4 separate regions of the Mus musculus genome follow, and all the other regions are reported to be linked to region 2. Evidence: microRNA targets listed by miRTarBase, many of them from high-throughput screens and not tested one by one. Region 2 holds a microRNA gene; each other region holds the end of a gene's coding sequence.
The links. The annotated mature microRNA mmu-miR-465a-5p reads UAUUUAGAAUGGCACUGAUGUGA and lies in region 2 at 1,689-1,711, shown strand. An mRNA with a match to its seed (bases 2 to 7 or 8) in the 3' UTR can be bound and repressed. Matches are read on the target gene's strand: a 7mer-m8 pairs with bases 2 to 8, a 7mer-A1 pairs with bases 2 to 7 and ends in A, and an 8mer does both.

Region 1 (5,867 bases), not on the chromosome of region 2:
GTTTTAGACAGGAGGCGATAGAGGTTGGGATGTAGCTCACTGGTAGCACTTGCCTAGACAGGAGAGAACTGAGTATTAACTCCAACCCAGGGCAGCAACTGTGTATCCTGCCCCAGGGTCCTGGCGTAGGACAACTCAGTCTTACAAGGGTCCTCTGTGAGCCCGAAGGGGCGGCCGTCTGGTAGATCATCCCCTGAGCTGACTTCTCAATTACTCCAACAGGTCACAGCCACCCATGGACTCTGTCACCTGCTGGGCTTCACCCACAGCTCCAAAGCCGAGTGGCAAAAGGTAGGAGGGGTACCTGTGCAAGGGGCTACCCCAGATACACCCTTAACCCTTAGGCTGCTGCCCAGCATTCCCCTCCCCCACCTCGAAACCCCATGGCAAGAGGCCGAACTACAGCCTCCATCCATCCTGCCTGGAAAGGTGAGGTCTTGTATTGAAGGCTCTGGCTCCTCATGATACTTCACTCCTGAAAGGCACCCTGGACAGGCAGGTGAAAGTTAAATTCCCTGAATGCTAGCTATTATCGATGGGGGTCAAGGGACACTTAATGTTCAGAAAAACATACAAAAAATAAAAAATAATAAAAAAAACCCTTACCCATCAGTTGGCAACAAATAATGCTAAGTCATGGTTTTTTTCTTCTAACGGCCAATGGGTACCACACTTAAAGCCCACTACGTTGTCCAATAGGCTTGGGTTACGTTTGTAGGTAATGTGTGTGCTGGTTATCTGCAGAGGCAGAGGAAGGAGTAGATCCCCTGAAACTGGAACTACAGCTGGTTGTGAGCTTCCTGATACGGGTGCTGGGAACCGAACCCAGGCGATCTGTGAGAGCAGTGAGTGCTCTCCACTGCTGAGCCATCTCTCCAGCACCCATGAATGAACTTTTTTTTTCAAATTAAAAGTAGATCGCAGTCTGCTTCTGCTACCACCCAGCCCTGTCTATGCCCACTCCCTCCCTGCCCCACACTTCCCTGGGCCCCATGTGTACCCCAGCTTCTCCCCCTTCCTTTGGGAGCCCACTCCCTGCTGTCCTGTCCTTTGATCTTGCATCTACCTACAGCTCTCTGAGTCTCTGTTCAGGTGCTGCTGATAGACTTGTGCAGAGCCTGGGGGAGCGGCTAGGGGGGCTTCAGAAGGAGGTGAACCCTGGGAGGACTCGGACTCGGGACAAGGGTCCCCAGAGTCCCTCCAGAGCTTGTGCTCTGCTGTGTTCCAGATGTACAACCAGGAGAAGCTGGTGCTGGAGGAGCTGAGCCGCTACACGGGAGCTAGGCTCCAACCCCTGAGCAGGGGCCTCTACTGATGCCACAGAGCTTTGAGACAGAGAACTTGTTGGACAGAGTCCCGTCCCTCTGCAAGACTCCAGGGAGCCTCTGCTTACCAGGGAGCCCCTGAGTGGACCACGTGGAGCCGGAATAGATGCAAAAAGCAAGAGGAATTTTTGTTCCAGTGCACTGGGGTCTTCCCAGACCCGAAGGAGAGGCGGCGACCCCCAGCACCCATTCAGGGAGTTTTTATATGGTTTCCAGGGGCAGAAGAGAGCATCAGCAACTAGGCACAACGTGATTGGCGGAGCAGTGCACCCTTTAAACTGATTGGTCTTTAGGGAATGAAGTGACAAGGACGTCCCTTGTCTGAAGGTGTCCTGCAGGATGTGTCCCCACCCACAGGGCAGTTCTGCCCTAAGGTCTGAGAAATGTTAATTAGCCTCTTCCTTCTGGAGGGGCAAGTGTTTCATGACCTTCCCAAACTTCCTAAGCTGGCCTTTTTACCTCCACAGTGGATCTCTGCTGGTCCTGTTGCCCTGGAGGGCCTCAGCCCACACTACAGCTTCACTCTGTGAGTGGACCAAGTACCAAGGAAGTGCCTGTCAGCCCTTACTCTGATTAGAAATCTATGCGGACTCTGTTGTAAGCAGAATCAGGCGTTCTAAGAGAAGAAACATGGACGCTCTTGTGCTTCTTTGGGTTTCTAGCTGTAGAGTCTGGGCAGATTGCCTTGTCTCCCTGAAGTGGGAGGAACGTGCCAGAACACTGAAGCCTGTTCTCCTAGGAGGAGGCGCCTGCAGACCAGCAAGCCCAAAAGGACACCTTGTGCCCTCGCCTTTCTTAAGCTGTTGGCTGCAGACACCACGGGACAGCCCACAGACCTTGTCTCCTGGGGCCAGAGAGTCAGGAGTGTCCCCCATCTGTGTTGCTGTTTGTAATTGTTTTAGATGACCTTTATTTTATTTGGAGCAGGGCAGTGGTGGCACACGCCTTTAGTCCCAGCACTTGGGAGGCAGAGGCAGGCGGATTTCTGAGTTCGAGGCCAGCCTGGTCTACAAAGTGAGTTCCAGGACAGCCAGGGCTACACAGAGAAACCCTGTCTCGAAAAACCAAAAAAAAAAAGGATTTTATTTGGTGTGTGTCATGTGTGGGTACACATTTCCCACTGCGGGGGGTGGGGTGGTCAGCTGGGGGGAGATGTCTCTCTCGTTTATTATTTTGTCCCCAGAGATGGAACTCTGGTTGTCAGCCTTGCCATCCCACTGACATCCTGCAGGCCACCGTAGTCCTGCCACTGGGGCTCCCCTATTGGCTGTTAGAGGCATGGTAGTTCTGCTCAAGGCCTGGAACATGGAATTCTGGTGACCTGAAGTCTAGTTCAAAGCAACATGCAAATGTCTGTGCAAATCTGGATCACGAGAGTCTTCCCAGCAGGTAGCCAGGGACCTTGAACCTAGATAGGGTTTCCTGACCCCTCTGCTGGGTGTACCCGCATATACACCTATGCCAGCCTGTTCCCTTCTTCTCGGCCATCTAACTGGTTCCTCGCCTTTGAGCATCCTTAAGGAATGACTGCTTCTGTGCCCTTCATTTTTCTATTTCCCTTTTTCTCTGCTTGGTATTTCTGGTTTAATTTGGTGGGGTTTTTGGTTTTTTTGGTTTTTTGGGGGGTTTTTTTGTTTTTTTTTTTTGTTTTTGTTTTTGGTTTGGTTTGACCTTGCAGCTCTGGGCATGGAATCCAGGATCTTGTCAGGCTTGGCAAGGCTCTGCCACATTCCCAGCCTGTTGCTCAGCTGCCCTAAATCTGTGGGTTGGTCAGCAGCTGTCTCTGAGTCCAGCCACATTGTTATGATGACTCCAAGCCTGAGGGGGCACTATCTGCCCTGTTCCAGGAGGCACAGCATCCTCACTTGGGGCTTCCTCACTTTGTGTTTATTCCAGATTTCATTTCGTCCCTCACTTCCCTGAAGGGCCTGTGATGTTTTTTAATTTTTAAAAAAGATTTACTTGGGTATGGGGGACTTTTGGTATAGCATTGGAAATGTAAATGAGCTAAATACCTAATAAAAAAAAGATTTACTTATTTTATGTATATGAGTACACTGTAGATGGTTGTGAGCCATCGTGTGATTGCTGGGAATTGAACTTAGGATTTCTGCTCGTTCCGGCCCTGCTCGCTCCAGCCCAAAGATTTATTAATTATATGTAAGTACACTGTAGCTGTCTTCAGATAAACCAGAAGAGGGCGTCAGATCTCATTACAGATGGTTGTGAGCCACTGCGTGGTTTCTGGGATTTGAACTCGACCTTCAGAAGAGCAGTCAGTGCTCTTAACCGCTGAGCCATCTCTCCAGCTGGGGCCTGTGATCTTGATGAGAGTTTCATGGACTCTGTGGATTGGCCGCTCACACACTTGAGCCATCTTTAAAATCTCTGGGGCGTACTGTGCATCTTCTCAGAGTAAAGTTGTGCACAGTGGTGCAGTCCCTGTCACCACTGTTAAGGGGCATGGCCAGGAGAAGCTTTTCCCTGAGTCACTGGGGACCCCCTAAGCCCACTACAGGGCCTGCTCAGACTCTTTAGTCTCCCACAGGTGGTCCTCAGACAGCAGGCTTGAAAGGGACGGGGAAGACTGTGTGTGAGGGTGGGTCCATGTACACTCCCATAGCTTCCAGAGGCTGATGGTGCTCCCAGAGCCAGGATGCTCCCAGGCTACTTCCTCCTTGTTAGCCCAGCATTGCCAGGCCATCTGAGACAAAACATCTGCCAAATATCTTCCTTCTATCAGATCAATAATCATATGAGAGGAAAATCGTGTTAGAAACATCATCTAGGAAGGAAATTATGTGAGCTCTTTAACTGGTGCTTTTAACAAAACCAAGTTTCTCTGGAACCACACCCCAAGGCGCACTGAAAGACAGGTCTGTCTTTATGGATTCTTCTCTACCTGATGGGCTGGGGTGGAGATGGAGGAGAGAGAGCAACCATCCAACCCTCCCGGAGTGAACAGTGCTTTGTAAACAGCGTGTGTAAATACCCATACTTACACAGCCTGCAGTGCCCACGTGCATGCATGTGGACCTCACATGTACCTGGGCCTTGTTATGATTATAAAATGTTATAAGTATGAGTATCTTGCCTGTGTGTATTTATGTGTGCACTCCTGATGCCCTTGGAGGTCAGAAGAGGACATTGACTATCCTGGAACTGGAGTCACAGAGAGTTGTGGATTGCCATGTGGTGCTATTGAAAGAAAATAAAACTTGAGTCCTGTGATTCATGTAATAGCCCAAAGAGTTGTTTGTGAGCTTTGAAGCCTGGGACTGAGAACATAGCAGAACAGGCCAGGACATGCCTGGGCAGGCCCATCATTAAGACATTCCTGAGGCTGCTTGGCCATAAAGATAAAGAGAATGCAAAGACATGTCCAGACTGGCCTGGCGCCTCCCTATCTCCCACCCTTCTGACATGGGTTAAATGTTAACCAGATGCTCTGCTGTTACCTCCATCTGCACATACACTCTGCTGATGTTTAAATGAACCAATCGTGTGAAACCGCGCCAATTCCTCCCCCAGCCCCAGACCCTTTTCTATAAAAACCCCTAGCTTTCAAGCCTAGTGGTCGACAACCGCAATCTCCTGTGTGAGATACATGTCGGCCCGGAGCTCCGTCATTAAACTACCTCATGTGTTTGCATCAAGACAGTCTCTCGTGATTCCTTGGGTGCACACCAACTCGGAATTGAGTGGGGGGTTTCTCCACTAGGTTCTTTCACTATGACTTAAACCTGAGCAACAAGCACTCCTAACACTTAGCCACTGAGCCAGCTCTCTAGCCCTTTTTTGTTTGTTTGTTTGTTTTTAGAGACAGGGTTTTTCTGTGCAACTCTGGCTGGCTTAGAACTAACTATATAGACCAGGCTGGCCTCTGCCTCTGGAGTGCTGGGACTAAAGATGTGCACCACCGTGCCCAGTTTCTTATTTTCTTTTTAATTACATTTAACCAGCCACAGGGGCTGGGGTCCAGGCACATCCCATGCAAAAATGGAGGCAAGAGGCCAACCTGTAGAAGTTGGTCACCTACCACCACCACCTAAGCCCCCATATCCTGAGAATAAAACTCAGTTATCAGACTTGAGAGCAAGCACCTTTACCTGCTGAACAATCCTGTTAGCCCTGTATATGCCCTGTATTATTATTATTATTTCTTTCCTCCTCCTCCTTCTTTAGAAATATCTATTTCATGCATGAGGACACTGCCACTGTCTTCAGACACACCAGAAGAGGACATCCCATCCCCCATTACAGAGGGTTGTGAGCCACCATGTGGTTGCTGGGAATTGAACTTAGGACCTCTGGAAGAACCTTTAGCGCTCTTAACTGCTGAGTTTAACTCTCAAGCCCGGCCCTGAAGTCATATCACAAATTCTTCAGCTTGCTTCTTTCACATTAAAATGAAGTCATTCCAGGTATGGCCGACAAACACAGTCTTCCCCAGCTACAATATTCGACTTCCCCTTGCTTCATGTGGGGGCGTGTGTAGCACCCATCCAGGGTATAACACAGAGCCTCAGACTGTCTGAGCTA
Region 2 (5,867 bases):
TATTGTATTATCAATAATTGTAACAAACATGTTGTTCTCTTAGTGCTGACTATTGTGTAGATGAAAAGAATATAATTTGAGAGGATCTTTGGTAAAATATATGGTAAAGGAAAATGAATTTTTTATTTTTGCATGACTTACGATTGAATCAGCTCATGGTAAGAGTATTTTTCTTTATTTCTCATGTTACAAAATCTGGAGAGGATGATAGAAAATGATAATTTAGAAAATTTTCAAGCAGCTACTTATCTGTATTTTAACTAGACTGTGGCCCATCTTTTAAACACCATATGTCCCAAACTTCTTTGTGAACAATTCATATTACCTTTCATAGTTTTTGTGATCTCTGAGTGATAGTGTCAGTACACTTGCAGTTTCCCTTGAATTGGTGTCTCTGGTTAAATATGCACATTTGATGTCTCCAGGATACATTCTTATTTACCATGCCCAATTTTGAAACTCATGAGAATTAAAGAAAATATGATCATGAAGATTATGATCTTGTTACAGGGAAAAAGTGAATGAGAGAGAACTTAAACCATAGATTCAAACCATCATTAAGATTAACATAGACTAGGAAAAAGAAGGAAAGATGTAAGGCAAAGAACACTGTAGTTGACATTTTGAAAACTTTGGCTTGGAAAAGGACTTCTATATTCCACATGAATTGTATTCTATTGAACAATTAATTGTAGGTTATTTATTACTACATTTTAAGATCATCTCTGTGTACAGTAATGCTCAAAAATAAAATGTTTGTGGTGAGAAATGAATGGTAATGGAAGAATAACTACAAGTAACCACTACATGTGTTCTCAAATCTCACAAATGCCTTTCCGAGGACTTATAAATCAGACATCTTCTGAGTTATTACAACAGTATGTTTTTAATATAAAAACAGTATGATATCACAGAAAAAAATTAAATACATGGAAGTATAGCATTTTCACTTTTTGCCATATAATCATTCAAATAAGAAGAATGCAAGTTAAATTTGTTAAGGAATACAAGTGTTTTAGAACATTGGGATGATTACTGTCATTGTCTTTCGAATAAATATCAGGAGGAAGTAGGTATCATTCTTTTTTTCTTTTTTTTTTTCTTCCTAGATATTTTCTTTATTTACATGAGAGATTAATTAGTTACTTGCATTGCATTTGTGCCACTATTTCACCAGTACAGCATGTAGGCAAATCACCATGTAGAGCACATGGTTTGTAGTTGTGTTGATGGTTACATTTATCCTCTGGTATCATTCAGAGTAACTTTCAGTACCATGAATGCTGATTAGTAGAGGTGCTGATTCTACAGGTACCACTCTGACTTCCTTTTTCAGCAGTATCGCCTTACCAGGAGTATTTGCAAATCATAAAAAATTCGCAAAAACCTAAGTTGTTTGCTGGAGGAAACCATTTGGTTAATGATCCAACTAGATATAAACAGTTCATCACTGCATGTTTCACTTGATGGTGAAAGTTGTAATGTGGAGAGCATGGTTTCCCTATTATTTAGTGACTCTGTTTTGATTCCTCATATGTGTATATATATTAAAAGAAACTTCTACAGTAGTAGGATTCTGTATGACCCTTTACTTGGCCATTAATGGCTATGGTTAGAGGTGAGATAAAACTAACAAGACTGTTTATGAATGTGTGAACATCTCCTTAAAGGCTTTGTATGCAGTGCCCTATTTAGAATGGCACTGATGTGATAAAATAAAAAATTGATCAGGGCCTTTCTAAGTAGAGTAAGGCTTACCACCTTCTACGTTTAATGACTTGTAGATGGATATTCAGATTAGCTGTAGGTACATGAAAAGTGCCTTCTGTAATCATAGATGAGCTTGGACATATCCACATTCTTTTTTTCCTTCTATTCATTTATTTATTTATTTATTTATTTATAATTTACTTATTCTTTCCTCGTGTATTATGTCCAGATTCTAGTTTCTTTTTCCCTACACACCTTGTAGCCCCTCCCCTGTATACTTTCCCTGTCCACCATATCTACTTCTGCTTTTCCCTTCAGAATTGATCAGGCCTTCTTATTTGCTGTACAGTAGATAATAGTCATCTAGAAATACATTCATATCCTTTAGGTTTCTTTCTCATTTTTTTCTTTTTTAAATTTTTATTATATATTTTCTTTATTAACATATCAAATGCTATCCCAAAAGTAACCTATATGCTCCCAGCTCCCTGATCCCCTATACACCCACTTCGACTTCATGGCACTGGTGTTCCCCTGTACTGGGGCATATAAAGTTTGCAAGACCTAGAGGTCTCTCTTCCCAATGATGGCCAATTAGGCCATAAGCTGCTGCATATGAGCTCTGGGGATACTGGATAGTTCATATTGTTGTTCCACCTATAGGGTATGGTCCACTATGTTCATAGCCACCTTATTTATAATAGCCAGAAACTGCAAAGAACCCTGATGTTTCTCAACAGATGAATGTATACACAAAATTTGGTACATTTACACAATGGAGTACTACTCAGCTATTAAAAACAATGAAATTATGAAATTCTTGGATGTATGGATGTATCTGGAGGATATTATCTTTAGTGAGGTACACAATCACAAAAGAAGTCATTAAATATGCACTCACTGATAACGGGATATTAGCCCAGAAACATAGATTACCCAATATATAATATGCAAAGACAAGGAAGTCAAGAAAAGAGAAGACCAACAGGTTGATACCTCTTTTAGTTTTCTTATGTAACAAAATACAAGGTTTTAAGATACTACATGATTTCTTGAATTTCACCACTCTCTGTTCTGTTTTTTTTTTATTAGATATTTTCTTTATTTACATTTCAAATGTTTTCCCATTTACCAATATCCCCCCCATCCCATCTAACCTCCCCCTGCTTGTGTGAGGGTGTTACCTCACCCACCCACTTACTCCCAATTTTTCTCCCTGGCATTCCCCTACATTTGGGGCATCAAGCCTTCACAGGACTAAGGGCCTCTTCTCACATTGATTCCCAAAAAGGCTGTCCTCTACTATATATGCTGGTGGAGCCATGGGTCCCTCCATGTGTACTCTTGGAAGGTGGATTAGTCCATAGCATGTAGGGGTTCTGGTTGTTTGATACTGTTGTTCTTCCTATAGGTTGCAAACCCGTTCATCTCCTTCAGTATTTGCTCTAACTCCTCCATTGGGGACCCTGTGAACAGTCCCAAGTCTTTTCTAGGAGTATGACAAAGTCTCTAGGATATGATGGGACATGTTCGGGCAGTACAAAACAGTTAACTAATGTTGATGATGCATAGGTGACTTAGATATTTTCAGGACTTCTTTGTCTGAAATAAATCTCACTCATACAATATTTGTGGTGATATAATTTGGTTTAAACTTCAAACATGTGAGAGATAAACGTTTTTGATAGCAGGATGCATTGTAACTGTCTGGACATCAATGTAACTTAGGGTGTATTCACCATAGAATTGTTTACTGTAAAATGTACAGGTTAGAAAACAAAGGTAAATAATAAAAGCAAATAAGCCATATATACTAAATGTAGTAAAGTTGTCAAAAAAGAAAATAGTAGTCAACATATTGCATTGATACAGAGATGAGTATTCATTTAAAGAAAAAACATGAGTAAATGTACTTTCAGGGAGAATTTTGATGGTGAGAGAATTTCCTGAGTAGAACAGGATGAAAGCTATTTCTTTATGTATGTTATATTATGTTTATTTATGTTATAATTACAGTTGAAAGTATGGGGAAGGGTAAAGATACGTGAAATCAGCACTATATACCAGGCTATAGTCTTGATTTGTTTCAGTCCTATAAACACATGAAGAACAAATCTTTGTGTAAAAACAAGAATCATCATGCCCTGAAATTGTGCTCTGGGTGTAAATGGCAGTATATATGCAGTTACTTTCTTTTACCCAGGAGCATTAGAACACTAATTTTATGTACAATAGGGGGAATAGGTACCAAATTCATTGATGACTATTTCATAATTTAGTGATAAAATGGCTAGGGAATTTGGGAAAAGGCATAAGTTTAAAATAGTATTTTGGTTTTTTTTCTAGGGTTTATGAGTAAAGGTCAGTTAATAAATTCTACACTCTATGGAGTACAGTGATAAAATTACTAAGAGTGATGGATCTAGCTGAGGCAATACCTACTTTAAATTGTCCTGTATTTATTCAAATTCTCTCATTCTCTGCATCCTGCCCAGTTCTGGGTCTGTGTTTTTCCATCCACTGTAAGAGGAAACTTTAATTATGGCTGATCAAAACACTGGTATGCGTATAGGAGAACATCCTTAGGAGTCATTTAATTGTACATTTAGAAGAAAAATAGAACATGCGTTTCTTTCCTAGGCCCATGACTTAGATTCTTGACCCCAGGATATGGGTTCCATCTTGTACAGCAGGCCTTAAACCCATTGAGAGATTAATTAGTTACTTGCATTGCATTTGTGCCACTATTTCACCAGTACAGCATGTAGGCAAATCACCATGTAGAGCACATGGTTTGTAGTTGTGTTGATGGTTACATTTATCCTCTGGTATCATTCAGAGTAACTTTCAGTACCATGAATGCTGATTAGTAGAGGTGCTGATTCTACAGGTACCACTCTGACTTCCTTGTTCAATAATATCACCTTATGAAGAGTTTTTGCAATTTACAAAATATTTACAATAGCCTAAGTTGTTTGCTGGAGGAAACCATTTGGTTAATGATCCAACTAGATATAAACAGTTCATCATTGCATGTTTCACTTGATGGTGAAAGTTGTAATGTGGAGAGCATGGTTTCCCTATTATTTAGTGACTTTGTTTTGATTCCTCATATGTGTATATATATTAAAAGAAACTTCTATAGTAGTAGGATTCTGTATGACCCTTTACTTGGCCCTTAACGGCTATGATTAGAGGTTTGATGAAGCTAACAAGACTGTTTATGAATGTTTGAACATCTCCTTAAAGGCTTTGTATGCAATGCCCTATTTAGAATGGTGCTGATCTGATGAAATAAAAAATTGATCAGGGCCTTTCTAAGTAGAGTAAGGCTTACCAACTATACATTTAATATGACTTGTAGATGAATGTTCAGAATATCTGTAGGTACATGTAATGTGCCTTCTGTAATTATAGGTGAGCTTCCACATGGCCACATTCTTTTTTTTTTTACTTCTATTTATTTATTTATTTATTTATTTATTTATTTATTTATTTATTCTTTCCTCATGTATTACATCCAGACGTTATCTTACTTCTTTCTACACACCTCATAGCCCCTGCCCTACACTTCCCCTGTCCACCAGATCTAATTCTCTCCTCCATTTCTCTTCACAAGAGATCAAGCCTTCATATTTGCTCTACAGTAGATAATATTTGTCTAGAAATACATCCATTTATTTTAGGTTTCATTCTTTTTTTTAATTTTATGAGATATTTTCCTCATTTACATTTCAAATGCTATTCCAAAAGTTCCCTATACTCTCCTTGTACCCTGATCTTCTATCTACCAACTCTCACATCTTAGCCTTGGCGTTCCCCTGTACTGGGGCATATAAAGTTTGCAAGACCTAGAGGTCTCTCTTCCCAATGATGCCCAACTAGGCCATCTTCTGCTACATATGAGCTCTGGGGATACTGCTTAGTTCATATTGTTGTTCTACCTATAGGGTATGGTCCACTATGTTCATAGCCGCCTTATTACAATAGCCAGAAGGTGGAAAGAACCCAGATGTCTCCCAACAGAGGAATGGATACCGAAAATGTGATACATTTATACACTGGAGTACTACTCAGCTAATAAAAACAATGAGATTATGAAATTCATGGGCAAATGGATGTATCTGGAGGATATCATCCTTAGTGAAGTAACCCAA
Region 3 (5,867 bases), not on the chromosome of region 2:
TCAGGAAAAGCTTCAGGGAGCCTTCACCTCCCTAAACATCTGGTTATGAATTGCAGTGAGCAGTACCCACCCTCTTCCACAGACCGCTGACCACCAGTACATGGAGGGCTTCAAGTATGAACTGGAAGCCTTTAAGGAGCGAGTGCGGGGCCGCGCCAAGCTGCGAATAGAGAAGGCCATGAAGGAATATGAAGAGGAGGAGCGCAAGAAGAGGCTAGGCCCTGGTGGCCTGGACCCCGTGGAGGTCTACGAATCCCTGCCTGAGGTGTGACTCCCCAGGGCCCAGGAGGGAGGAGGGTGATGTATACCCATTGCTGCTCCCTGCCCCCGCCCCTCTGCTCCCACCCATCCCAAGCCCAGGCCCTCACCCTGGCCCCTCTGTACTCAGGAGCTGCAGAAGTGCTTTGATGTGAAGGATGTACAGATGCTGCAAGACGCCATCAGCAAAATGGATCCCACTGTGAGTCCCTAGTCCCTGTGGCAGATGGCAGATGGCCAGGGGGTGCAACCCTGTCATCCAAGAGCAGGGTTGTGAGTCCAAGGCCAGGCTTAGTTAAGATGAGCCAGAGCAATTCAGTGAGACCCTGTCTGAGAACGACACCCTTCTGCACACACGCACGCAGTACAATACCAGTATACTTTAAAAAAATCTTTTAATTCCTTGCCCCACCACCACCACCTTTTTTCTCTGAGATAGGATCTCACTGTGTAGACCAGGCTAGCTTCAGACTCACACAGATAGACCTGCCTCTGTTCCCAGGCTAGCTCCAGACTCACAGATAGAGCTGCTCTGTCCCCTGCGTGCTCAGGTTACCTCGCTGGTTACTTAAGTGCTGGATTGTAATCTCTGGTCCTCATGATTTGGAGGAAAGTACTCTTAACTGCTGAGCATAGCTGTCACCACTCCCTTTTGTCTGTGTGTTTGTTTTTTGAGACAGGGTCTCATGTAGCCCAAGCTGACCTCAAATGTGCTACATAACTGATGACCTTTGCTCCTGACCCTCCTGCTGCCACTTCCTAATTGGTGGGATCACAAGTGTGTACCACCATATCTGCTTGTCTGTGGTGCTGGAATGGTAGAGTCTCAGAACACTGGGCAATTGCTGCACCCGCTGAGTCACATGCTAGCTTCTGCAGTTCTATATTACCAGTCCTGGGTGGAGTGGGTGCTGAGCAGCCTTGAAGGAGGTGCAGGGGACACTGGGCATCATGCTGCTGGCATGGCCTCATCTGCTGTCCTCCCTCTCTCCACAGGATGCCAAGTATCACATGCAGCGTTGCATCGATTCTGGCCTCTGGGTCCCCAACTCCAAGTCTGGTGAGGCCAAGGAGGGGGAGGAGGCGGGCCCCGGGGACCCATTGCTGGAAGCCGTCCCCAAAGCGGGCAACGAGAAAGACGTCAGTGCGTGACCCTTCTCCGGAAAAGGAAACTTAGCCACCATGTCCCTAGCTCCCAACTTCTTCACTTGTGCTGCTCCTCACATCCTGGCCCATGGCCTGCCCCGTGTCCCCTCTCCTCCCACCTGTCCCCAGCGCTCATCAGACTCTCTGCTTCGGGTTGAGGGGCTCTGCTGTCTGCAGCCTCCTACCCCCATCAGCGTTATGCCAAAGTCCTGGGGGCCTGGGGAGGGGCAGCAGTTGCCAGGTTGGTCCACCGGGTTGGGGATACAAATGTCCCCATCTAGGCAAGGTCTGTCCCTATGGGTCTATGGTCACTGTTTTTCTTCTGTCTAGCTTCCTGTCCTGCAACTGGCAACAATGTCCAATAAACAGTTCCAGGTGCTGGAGGCCGCTGGTTCAGTGCTGTTTGAGGCAGAGGGTGAACCTAGGTGGGGAGAACTGGAGTGCTAACAGCCATCCATGCCTTTGCCCTGTCCTCACCCTTCAGAAGTCCTAGGCCTTCTGTGTCTCTCCAACTGTCTGTCTCAGCCTCCCCTAACTCCTCCCTCTGTCTCCCCTCTCCCCCTAGCACTCCATGGAGACAAGAGGACACGAGTTTGAGGGTAACCTGGGCATGAGATATATGTGGCCTTTCACACTAGACTTTGCCTCTGCTAGGGGAACATCTTATTCTAAATTTTTATTTGTGTGTGTGTACGCTCGCACGCCCGAATGTCTTTTTGAGATAGGTTTTGTATGTATCTTTGGCTGTTTGGGAACACACTATATAGACCAGGCTGGCCTCAAACTCAGATATCCACGTGCCACTCACTACCTCTTGAGTGCTGGCATCAAAAGCATGAGCCACTCCTGGCTTAAAATTTAATTTATGTGTATGAGTGTTCTGTACGTGTACATGTAGTGGCTGCAGAGGCCAGAATCTCTTAGAACTGTAGTTCCCAGTGGCCCTCAGTCCACCATGTGGCTACTTGGAGTGAACACAGTGTCCTCTGCAACATTGAGTCTTTTCTCCAGTCCTGGGGAGCAACTTTGAGGATTTCTCCTGTTAGAAAGAATGTAGCCTGGGGCTCTGGCTAGAGTTTAGTGGCAGAGCTTGGCTTAGCGTGGTTTCAGTTCCAGCAATGTTTGTTTTTTGTTTTTTGTTTGTTTTTTTTTTTTAAAGCACATGTATCATTCTGAAGAATGAATGAAACAGAAGGGTCATGTGTTCAAGGCCGGGCTAGGCTGACCAGTGAGTCACTGTCTCGGTGAAAATGAATTAAAGGACTTAGTTTACAGAGTGTTTGCCTAGCATTCAGGAAGCTCTGGCTTCTAGCCCTACCCTGCATAAACTGGGTGTGGTGCCACATCTGCAAATCCCAGGCCCAAAGTTGGATTTAATTCTGGAGTTAAGGGTGGTGGACTGAGAGGATAGCTCTCGATACAGAGGCCTGAGAAGACCTCAGTTTAGATACCAGCACCAAAATGCTGGACATGGCCGTGTGCACTTCCTGTAACCTCGGTGTCTTTGGAGATAAGACCGTGTCCCTGGGGCTTGGTGGCTGCAGGTCTTGTTTCAGATTGAGAGACTGTGAGTAGGAATAACATGAAGCATGATAGAGCAGGCCACTGGGCATCCTCTGGGTCCTACGGTACACAGGCACAGTACACATGCCTAATGCCGATGGCACACACAAAGCACATGGTTGTCCAGTCTGGGCTACGCGTGAGAAAGTAAACTTGCATGACCTGGTGAGATGGCTCAGCCGTGAAAGGCACTAGCCACCAAGCTTGGCAGTTTTAATTCCTACAGCATGCTACCTGCTGTCAGGAGAGAGCCAACTCAGCATACTACAGAAGAGTGTAACCTAAAACATAAAGTTAATAAGCAAATGAACAAACATGCAAAAATGGTGCAGTGAGCTGCATCAGTTGAAATCAGCCAAAGGCAAGATTCTGACCCTTCATCCATCCCCCTTTTAGGGCATTGTCCTCTGGGAACTGCTTCTCACTCAGGACCCAGCTCAGCCTTTGGAAGACAGCAAGCAGCTGATCTCCAAAATCTGAGGCAAGGCTAGTCTACATGGTGACTTGCAGGCCAGCCAGGGCTGCACAGTGAGATCCTATCTCAGGGAACAACAGAATGAAAAAACATTTTAACCAGCCCTAGCTCGGTGCAGTGCACCTCCCAGACATGTTCCTGGGAGCTCTCTGAACCTCTCACCTTTCACACTAGCCGCAGGACTGCCTCACCGGTGTGGTATGACCTGTAGACTACCAGGCACTATGAGCCTTTCCTTCCCTTCTCCCCTGAGACTCCCACAGCACTGGGAAAGGGGACTGGAGCACGCACAGTAGGCCCACAGAAAAGATTTGCAGAATGGCCAGAATGCTCTTGTGTCCAAGTGTCTATCCACCAGAGGGCAGGAGTGAGCCACAAATCTTTACAAGCCCAGTATTCTTTAGTTGAAAGGTAGGTCTGTAACTCAGTTCCAGGTGATCCAAACACATGGGGTGTGTGTGTGTGTGTGTGTGTGTGTGTGTAACTCAGTTCCAGGTGATCCAAACACATGGGGTGTGTGTGTGTGTGTGTGTGTGTGTGTGTGTGTACTTTAAGGTCATGAGCCATGATGTGGTTGCTGGGAATTGAGCTCTTTTGGGATAGCAATCAGTGCTCTTGACCACAGTAATTCCTCCAGCTCGTGATTTTTGAGATTAAGTCTCACTGTAGCACAGGCTACTCTGGAATTTGTGACAGTCAACCTACCTCAGTCTGCCTAGTGCTGTGATGAACATAGGTTGTGAGTTACTTTGACAGTCTGGTTTGGTTATATTTTTAACTCATTGAGTTGTCTCATAGCTGATTACGGAGTACATGTCTATAATCCCAGCACTTGGGAGGCTGAGGCACAAGTATGGACCGAGTTCAGCCTAGGCTATCTTGTCTCAGTGTGCTTTGTTTTGTTTTTTCATAACAAAATAGTTCCACAAATAGGTCTAAAATTTTTATTGATATACTTATTGTGTAGACATTGAAAAGCAGCTGGAGTTTCTGTGTCTACACTCTGTGGGAACTGGAGCTAGAACTAAGTATTGATGTCAGTAATGGTGGCAAGTGTCATTATCCGCTGAGCCATCTCAGCAGCTCATTGTAGAGGGATGCCCATTAGCTGCTTGGGCTGTCAGGAAGTCTCTGGTGGCTTCCTGTCCCCACCCCCCTAGGCTCCTAGACACATTGAACCGGGTCCTCGATTGCAGGGAAATGCAAGCCCTTTGCTTTCATTTTTACCAGCTCAGTTGATGACCCTACATACGGAGAAGTAAAACAGCTACAAAGCTACGTGGGGGTGGGGGTGTCGCAGAAACAGAGTGGCATCTGTGGGCTGTCATCTTTTGCCACCCTATTTCTGTAGTTTTTCCTTTCTCTGCCATGGTTGACACAGTTTCTAGAGAATACTGCTACACACATGTACAGCAGGACATGGAACCTTCTTTGAAAGTCTCCCAGCAAGTCACCTTGCAGTCCTCAGGAGAGAGGGGCCTGACTGTTCCCTGACCTCCCATTCAGAAGACAACAGACTTTGTTTTCAATTCTTTATCTTGGCTTTTCCCAGGTCTGGTGGGAACTTTAGGGAAGCCCTTCCCCCAAAGACCTGCCTTGCTTAGGGGAATCCCCTCATTTCTGAAACCTGTTCCAGCTGTCCTGGGTTTGTCCCTCTTCGTATGGAAAGTCCCCATTGGGGAAACCCCTTGGGTATTCCTGCTGAGTAATGGACAGGTTTAGGGTGCAGAAGTTCTACAAGACCTCTGGGTCAGAAGAACAAACACAGGCCTTCCCAGTAGCCTCAGGTAGCTGGTTTCTCTCTCCACTGTTCAATGTGGGATGTCTGTCCTGCTGTGAATGAACTGGCAGACTTGGGCTGGCACTCATATCTGTACTTCCAACATCTGGAAAGCTGAGACAGCAGAAGGGCTTTGAGTCTGAGGTCAGCCCAGGCTAAAGTGAACTCCACAGACCCTGCCCATCTTTCAAAAGAATATGAAAACAAAACCAAACAGAAACAGGGGGGAGGGGGAGGGGGAGGGGGAGAAGCCCAGTCAGCCCAGAAGAGCTCAGTCTGCAAAGAACTGTAAAGGAAGTGAGGTTTGAGCCTCGGAACCTACACAAAAGCAGAAGGGTGCTGCATGCTCATTAGCCCGGTAGCCATTGGAGCCTGCGGCCATCTTGCCTATCCAAATGGGATGTTACAGGCCAATGAGACCTTGTCTCGGACAAAACCAAACCAAGGTGGATGGCAGTTAAGGAATGACAGTTAAGGTTTTTCCCCTGGCCTCCACAACTGTGTACATGTATGTGCCTAAATGTCACACACAAATAAAACAGAATAAACCAGAGGCAGGTAGATTTCTATTTGAGGCCAGGCTGGTCTACCAAATGAGTTCCAGAATAGCCAGAGCTCCAGAGAGAAACCCTGTCTTGAAAAACC
Region 4 (5,867 bases), not on the chromosome of region 2:
AAACTCACACAGACTCACACACATAAATAAAAGTTAAATACATTTTTAAAAAATAAAATGAGACACTAATTTCTTTCCGTTTTTGTTGTTTTAGTTTTTATTCTTACTTGTGAATGACCCTAGCCTACATCGATTCAAATTCTTTGTTCTTTAGTTTTGTTTGTTTTGTGAACCTAGGGACTGAGTTACATTTGTTTGTTTGTAGACATAGTTTACTGTGGTGACCATAAACTGAAGAGATCGGGAACTTGTATTCTTCTGCCTCCAGCTCCTGGGTAGCTCGGATTACAGACCTGCACTCCAGGCTTGACTTTTGTTTTGTTTTGTTGTCATTTCAGACAGGCTCTCACTATGCACCCTTGGCTGAAGAAGAACTCTATGTAGACTAAGCTGGCCTCAGACTCAGAGAGATCTACCTGCTTCTGCCTTCATGTGGTGGGATAAAAAAGGCTTGTATCTCTAGGACAGTCAGGGCTACACAGAGAAACTGTTTCAAAAAAAAAAAAAAAAAAAAGCTTGTGTCACCATGCCCAGCCCCAGCCCCTTAGGGCCCTATTTTTGTGAACTGTATTACAATTATTTTGTAAAAGCAATTCTTAGGCATGGTACAGGTGGAACAACAAAAAAGGAACAGAGGGAACTAGTTAGGTAAAACAAGTTAACAAAGCCAGACACAGTGCTATACACCTGTATCTCCAGCTACTTGGGAGGCTGAGACAGGTGGATTGCTTGGTTCCAGGAGTTCAGGACCAGCCTGGGATGCACAGTGATACCCCATTTCAAAAATACAACAAGATGGGGAAGGGAGGGTCTAGAGAGATGGCTCAGCAGTTAAAAGCATGTCTGCCCTTCCTCAGGACTTAGGTCTTGATTCCCAGCATCACATGGTGGCTCATCATTTATAATCCCAGTTCCACAGGGTCTTATGCCCTCTTTTTACTTTCTCTCTCTCTCTCTCTCTCTCTCTCTCTCTCTCTCTCTATCTATCTATCTATCTCATGCATGCACAAAATAAAAAGAAAACAAAAATTTAGCAAAATTGAGGTTTGATGCCACATATGTTTAATCCTAGCACTGAGGTGTCAGAAGTAGATGGATCACAGTGAGTCTGAGGCCAGCCTGGTCTACATGGGGAATTCCAGGCCAGCTACAGCTACATAGTAGGACCGTCCCTTTATGTAACTGGAAATGGTTTAGCACCTCAATCTGAATATAATTGGCGGGGACTCTAGGTAGAGTTCTCCAGTTGCCTTTGTTCAGGATTCCTAAGAAAACTCTTCTATTCTGTCTCTCCTCTATTACAGGTATCAGTCCCTCAACCTGACCCATGTTCCTGAACACAGTGCACCCATCTATGAGTTCCGGTGACAGAGGTTCAGAACAGTGGCCAAATAAAACTGAACTTGGCAACAAAGAGCTTTGCGAGGAAATTATGTACCTGCCAGAACCAGGAGAGGTGTGTTCCTGTTTGTTCACGAGCAGACTTCATCAGAAAGCATGAATGTTAACCTACAGGATCCAAGGAGCATGGCCAACCTGCAGGCAGGCAGAGGGAGCTGTTCACCTCCCACCCTCCTTCCTCTCAGTGGCATTGTGGTCACCATCTGTTTCTGAACAACCTTAAATGCACTTTCCTTCCTGCACAGCTAACTTCTGCATCACTGAAATGCCATCTTTCCTCGGCCTGCCTCTAGCCAAGTGGAAGGTCAGCTCCTGGGTCACCTTAGCCTTGGTGCTCAGTGGTCTCCACCCAGGCCCTACTCCTTCCTCAGTTGCTTGTTTGGTAGCCCAAGGAAAGGGAGAGCCCAGCATCTTGTGCCCCAGAGCTCTATGTGAGTTGCCTGGGCCCAGCATATACCACCAATGAGATGAGATGGGGTCCCTGGTGGGCCTCATTGACCTTTGATTCCAGTTGATGTCTTGTAGGGCCCTGTGTGTTAACAATGCAAGACTAGCACATGGCTGTCGGGTTTTCTGGGCCTGCTGTTGGGGATCACTAAATTTAAGGCTTCCAGATCCCTGGTAGGAGTAGATCCCAAACTGCTTTCTCAGTACATTTGCTCCAAACTTCTGAACTTGAGGGCAATACTAAATAAAAGAGTTTTTTATTACAAAATTATTATTTTTATGGTACCTTTAACAAGGACCCTATGGCAAATGCACAATTATTCCGAATTACATTTATCGTTTTCACATTGAAAACAGCAAATGTTGACGTAGTGACTTTTATATCTATGTCTATATGTATATTTAATCAACCAGCAGTTTTGAAACAGGTCATCCTGGTACAGAAGTTTTGCAGCATTGCTTAAATCACAGTGCTAAACACAGGAACTGTTTCCGGGCCGGCTGAGCATTTGCGCCTCCTCCTTTTGCTACTCAAAACATCAGTGTGTCATGACAACCTTTTCCAAAGGCAGAGGGGGCCCCCATTCTCCGGAAAGGATGACTGAAATGTTGTCATGGCGTGGGCAGGAAGAAATGCACTCAAATAACTCGAGGCTCATGTGCCAAAGTGTGAGAGAGGGGAGTGGTTTGGTTTGGTTTGGTTTGGTTTTTCTAAATGTTTAAAAAGCTTAATAGATTGGCATCAGTTGTAGTCCACAATATTGTCAGGACTTTGGGGAATTCTGGTGGTTTACAGGTCCAAACACAAGGGGAAAAGCTTTAAAATAAATACAGCATCAGGGCTGGGAGTGCAGCTGACCAAGCACTAGCTTGTCACATATGAGGAAGGACCTGGCTTCCATTTCCAGTGCTGGAAAAAGGGAACACCAAGGGGTAGCAGGTTGGCTGCTGTTGTATTGTGCTGTGTGTTACTAATACTGAATATCTGGGAACCTTAAGAGAGCAGAAGTGGGGAAAGAAACCAGCAGGTACTTGGCAATATCCATAGCCCCAAAACTTACCCAGTCAGTAAAGCTGGGGCTCAGAAACCATAACAATACATCATCCCAAGACTTAGGTAGAAGAAAAGAATCCACATCCATCGCTAGGGCTGAATCAGTGGTTCCTTACCCTTGAGAAGCAGCCTGGGTACGGCAGTGCACCTCGAGGCCCAGCTGCTCAGAAGCCTGAGCCCAGGAGAAAGGGTCAGTCTAAGGTGAACCTAAACTTCATCTGACATCAAAACTCAACTGAATATGAGATGGCCGGCTCTGGTCAGAAGCACCTGGCTTACACCACAGGCCACCATCGCTTCACTTAAGCTGAGGGGCAGCACTGGAGAGTGAAGGAGGCAGAAAGACTGACTGCTGGCTTTTCCCTGCAGCACCTGCTCCTCTGGCTTTCCACCATGCTATTGAACCATTGTGTGCTGGGCAGGTATCATTCAGCAGTGGATGGAGTCACCCTGAAGCTAGGGCTCGTGTGTAGCTCTAGTAGCACGTCAGTGAACAGCCTCTCCTCTAAACTGGGCAGGCCAGGTCGGAGCATAGGGGTTCCCCCTACACCCCCCTTTTGTTCCTTTGATCTCTTTGTCTTCAGGGTCTCACTTTGTAACTCTAGCTGGCCTGGAGCTCACTTTGTAGATCAGGCTGACCTTGAACTCACTGAGATCCACCTGACTACTCAGAGCGAGTACTAGGACTAAAGGTGTGAGCCACCACACCCTGCTTTTTTTTTTTTTTTTTTTCTTAGCTAGGGAAGTGTTCCAGCTCTACTTAGAAAGATGAGGGAAGGATGCCTTTAGCAGACAGACTTCAGACCTACCTGAAGACTTGCTGCTTAGAAGTCTGCCCCTGAACACTGGGCAGGAATAAACATGTTCCACTTCTTAGTAACTCCTAGCTGGTGGACAGTGACTTCTTTTCCTTTTCTGTCCCTGGAGGACCTCTGGGACTTGTCTCCATTGGTAGCTCTTTAACCAGCTGCTCAGTGGCTTGCATGCCTCTGGTCCTGTGTGCAATATCTTTGCCTGGCACTTGTATCTAACATTGAAAAATAGGTGCAGACTGCAAATGTCCTACTGTTCTCTACTCCAACGAGCCAACCCCCAGGCAGGGACTAGAGGTCTGGCTGCTCTTCTCTTACCCTCCACTCAGAAGGCTCCACTGCTGTGGCCAGCTGTGGCCCTCTCGTTCCCTGCTTTACCAGTCTACCCACCTATCTCCTTTAAGATGGCCTAGCATGTCAGCTGCAGTCCAAAAGTAAGTAGACAAAGCCTCATGTTAAGTAGACAGTCAGGGTGGACTGGCCCTGTTAGCAGTGTTGGAGTCAGATTCCAGTGGAACAAAGGGGTTTCTCAATGTCTTTTGCTTTCAGAAGCAGGGAATTCATATTCCCTTTAAGGCCTTGAATGGATTTTTTTTCCTCATAAAATAGTCACTGATAAGCTAATTTTTAAAAAGAAATGCCATTACGTATGTTACATTGTGGTTTAAAATTACTAACAAGTTCTGGGAAAGAAAATACTTGATTTTGAATCTTAAATGTTTTTTAAAAATTAGATTTGAATGGGCGCAAAGTACAAATATTTTGTTTCTTTATGGAAGACCTGTGGAAAGGGTTTGAAGATTTGCAATGGGAGAATTATTTTGCAGAGCTATCAATGTCTAAATAATTTTTGAAAAAAAAAAACCAATAAAGGTATTTAAGCAGTGTGTGTCCAATTTGTAAGTCAAAACATTCCACTAGGAGAAATCTGTTCCTTTGTGACTGGAGCAGGAACCAGCAGGTCAAGCCTAGGTTTAATCAGGTGAATGGCTGGGCCGTGTGCTGCTTCAGCAGCAGGTGTACTGAGCCAAGTTGAGGAGTCGCAGCTATCAGATCGGTATGGATGCCACAGTGTTGGGTGTGGGTCAGGTGAGGGAAAACACCCTTTCTTCCATCTAGCGTAGCTTATAAGTTCTTGCCTTGATTTCTCTCATAGATTTGGTGGTATGTATGAGTGTTTTGCCTGCATTGTGTCTGTATACTATGTAGTCCCTAGTGTCCACAGACACCAGAAGAGGGTTTTTGGATTCCTCTCAAAATGGAATCTCCTTTCACTGGTGGTTGTGAAAGGCCATGTAGGTGCTGGCAATCAAACCTGGGGTCTCTACAAGTGCAAGTACTTTTAACTGCTAAGCAGTCTTTCCAAACCCCTCATAAATCTCTCATATGCCTGTATGCCACTACCATTTGAATTCTCCCCAGTAAACTTACAGGGTGGCTTCTATAATAAGTTTTATTCCCAGGAATATCTCATTAATCTGTGCCAGAGAGGTGGTGCTGTTTTGGGGTCCACTTAAAGGCTGCAGTCCTCCCTCATAAAAGAGTCAAAAGCTTCTTGTAAAATTATTTTCTAGGGTTCTACCCAGCCTAAAAATTGTTTTATATGGTGGGAGTAACTTGGAATAATGTCTTTACAGACTGAGGTGCCTGGCAGTGCTCAGCCAGCCACTCTACCTTTTGTCTTCTTTCCATTTTGTTAGAAATGAACTTCCTAGCTGGGCAATGGTGGCGCATGCCTTGAATCCCAGCACTTGGGAGGCAGAGGCAGGCAGATTTCTGAGTTCAAGGTCAGCCTGGTCTACAGAGTGAGTTCCAGGACAGCCAGGGCTACACAGAGAAATCCTGTCTGGAAAGACAAACAAACAAAAGTAATGAACTTCCTTAGAAATCTGGAAGGAATTTCTTGGCACACCAGTATTGAGATGGCAAGAGATGAGCCATTATGTGATGGTGTTGGTGTTAGGCCAGCTGATAGAATCGAGCACGAATTCCCTTCACAGCACGAAGGGAATCTCATAGCCCTAAAGCCTGGGTGCTTGGGCTGATTGCAGGCCTGTCCTAGTGTGCTGAACTGGGTGTAAGCAGCAGGCTGTGGGCCTGTCACACCCCACCTCAGTCTGTAAGTTAAGGACACTCAGTCTTATCCCATTAGG

Region 1: miRTarBase lists Ybey as a target of mmu-miR-465a-5p. Seed matches in the 3' UTR shown: 7mer-A1 at 3,333-3,339.
Region 3: the mRNA of Cdc37 is a reported target of mmu-miR-465a-5p. The part of its 3' UTR that is shown has no 7-base or 8-base seed match.
Region 4: miRTarBase lists Gid4 as a target of mmu-miR-465a-5p. Seed matches in the 3' UTR shown: 7mer-A1 at 2,089-2,095, 7mer-m8 at 2,559-2,565 and 8mer at 4,553-4,560.

Annotation. Positions count from the first base shown.
Region 1 is chr10:76,458,681-76,464,547 of GRCm38, reverse strand. Ybey (ybeY metallopeptidase) reads left to right here. Exons shown (of 5, transcript NM_172550.4): 4 at 223-291; 5 at 1,229-4,981. The coding sequence ends at 1,315. 2610028H24Rik (RIKEN cDNA 2610028H24 gene) reads right to left here. Exons shown (of 8, transcript NM_029816.2): 8 at 3,330-4,061. Among named protein-coding and RNA genes, the nearest start is that of Mcm3ap, 7.3 kb to the left of the region's middle.
Region 2 is chrX:66,834,943-66,840,809 of GRCm38, reverse strand. Mir465 (microRNA 465) reads left to right here and starts at 1,685; the gene lies at 1,685-1,758. Mir465b-2 (microRNA 465b-2) reads left to right here and starts at 4,968; the gene lies at 4,968-5,046.
Region 3 is chr9:21,135,351-21,141,217 of GRCm38, reverse strand. It overlaps Cdc37 (cell division cycle 37), which reads left to right. Exons shown (of 8, transcript NM_001378796.1): 6 at 83-265; 7 at 389-460; 8 at 1,255-1,787. The coding sequence ends at 1,410. Among named protein-coding and RNA genes, the nearest start is that of Tyk2, 7.0 kb to the right of the region's middle.
Region 4 is chr11:60,440,675-60,446,541 of GRCm38, forward strand. Gid4 (GID complex subunit 4, VID24 homolog) reads left to right here. Exons shown (of 6, transcript NM_025757.4): 6 at 1,305-4,603. The coding sequence ends at 1,368. It also overlaps the pseudogene Gm12268. Among named protein-coding and RNA genes, the nearest start is that of Drg2, 11 kb to the right of the region's middle.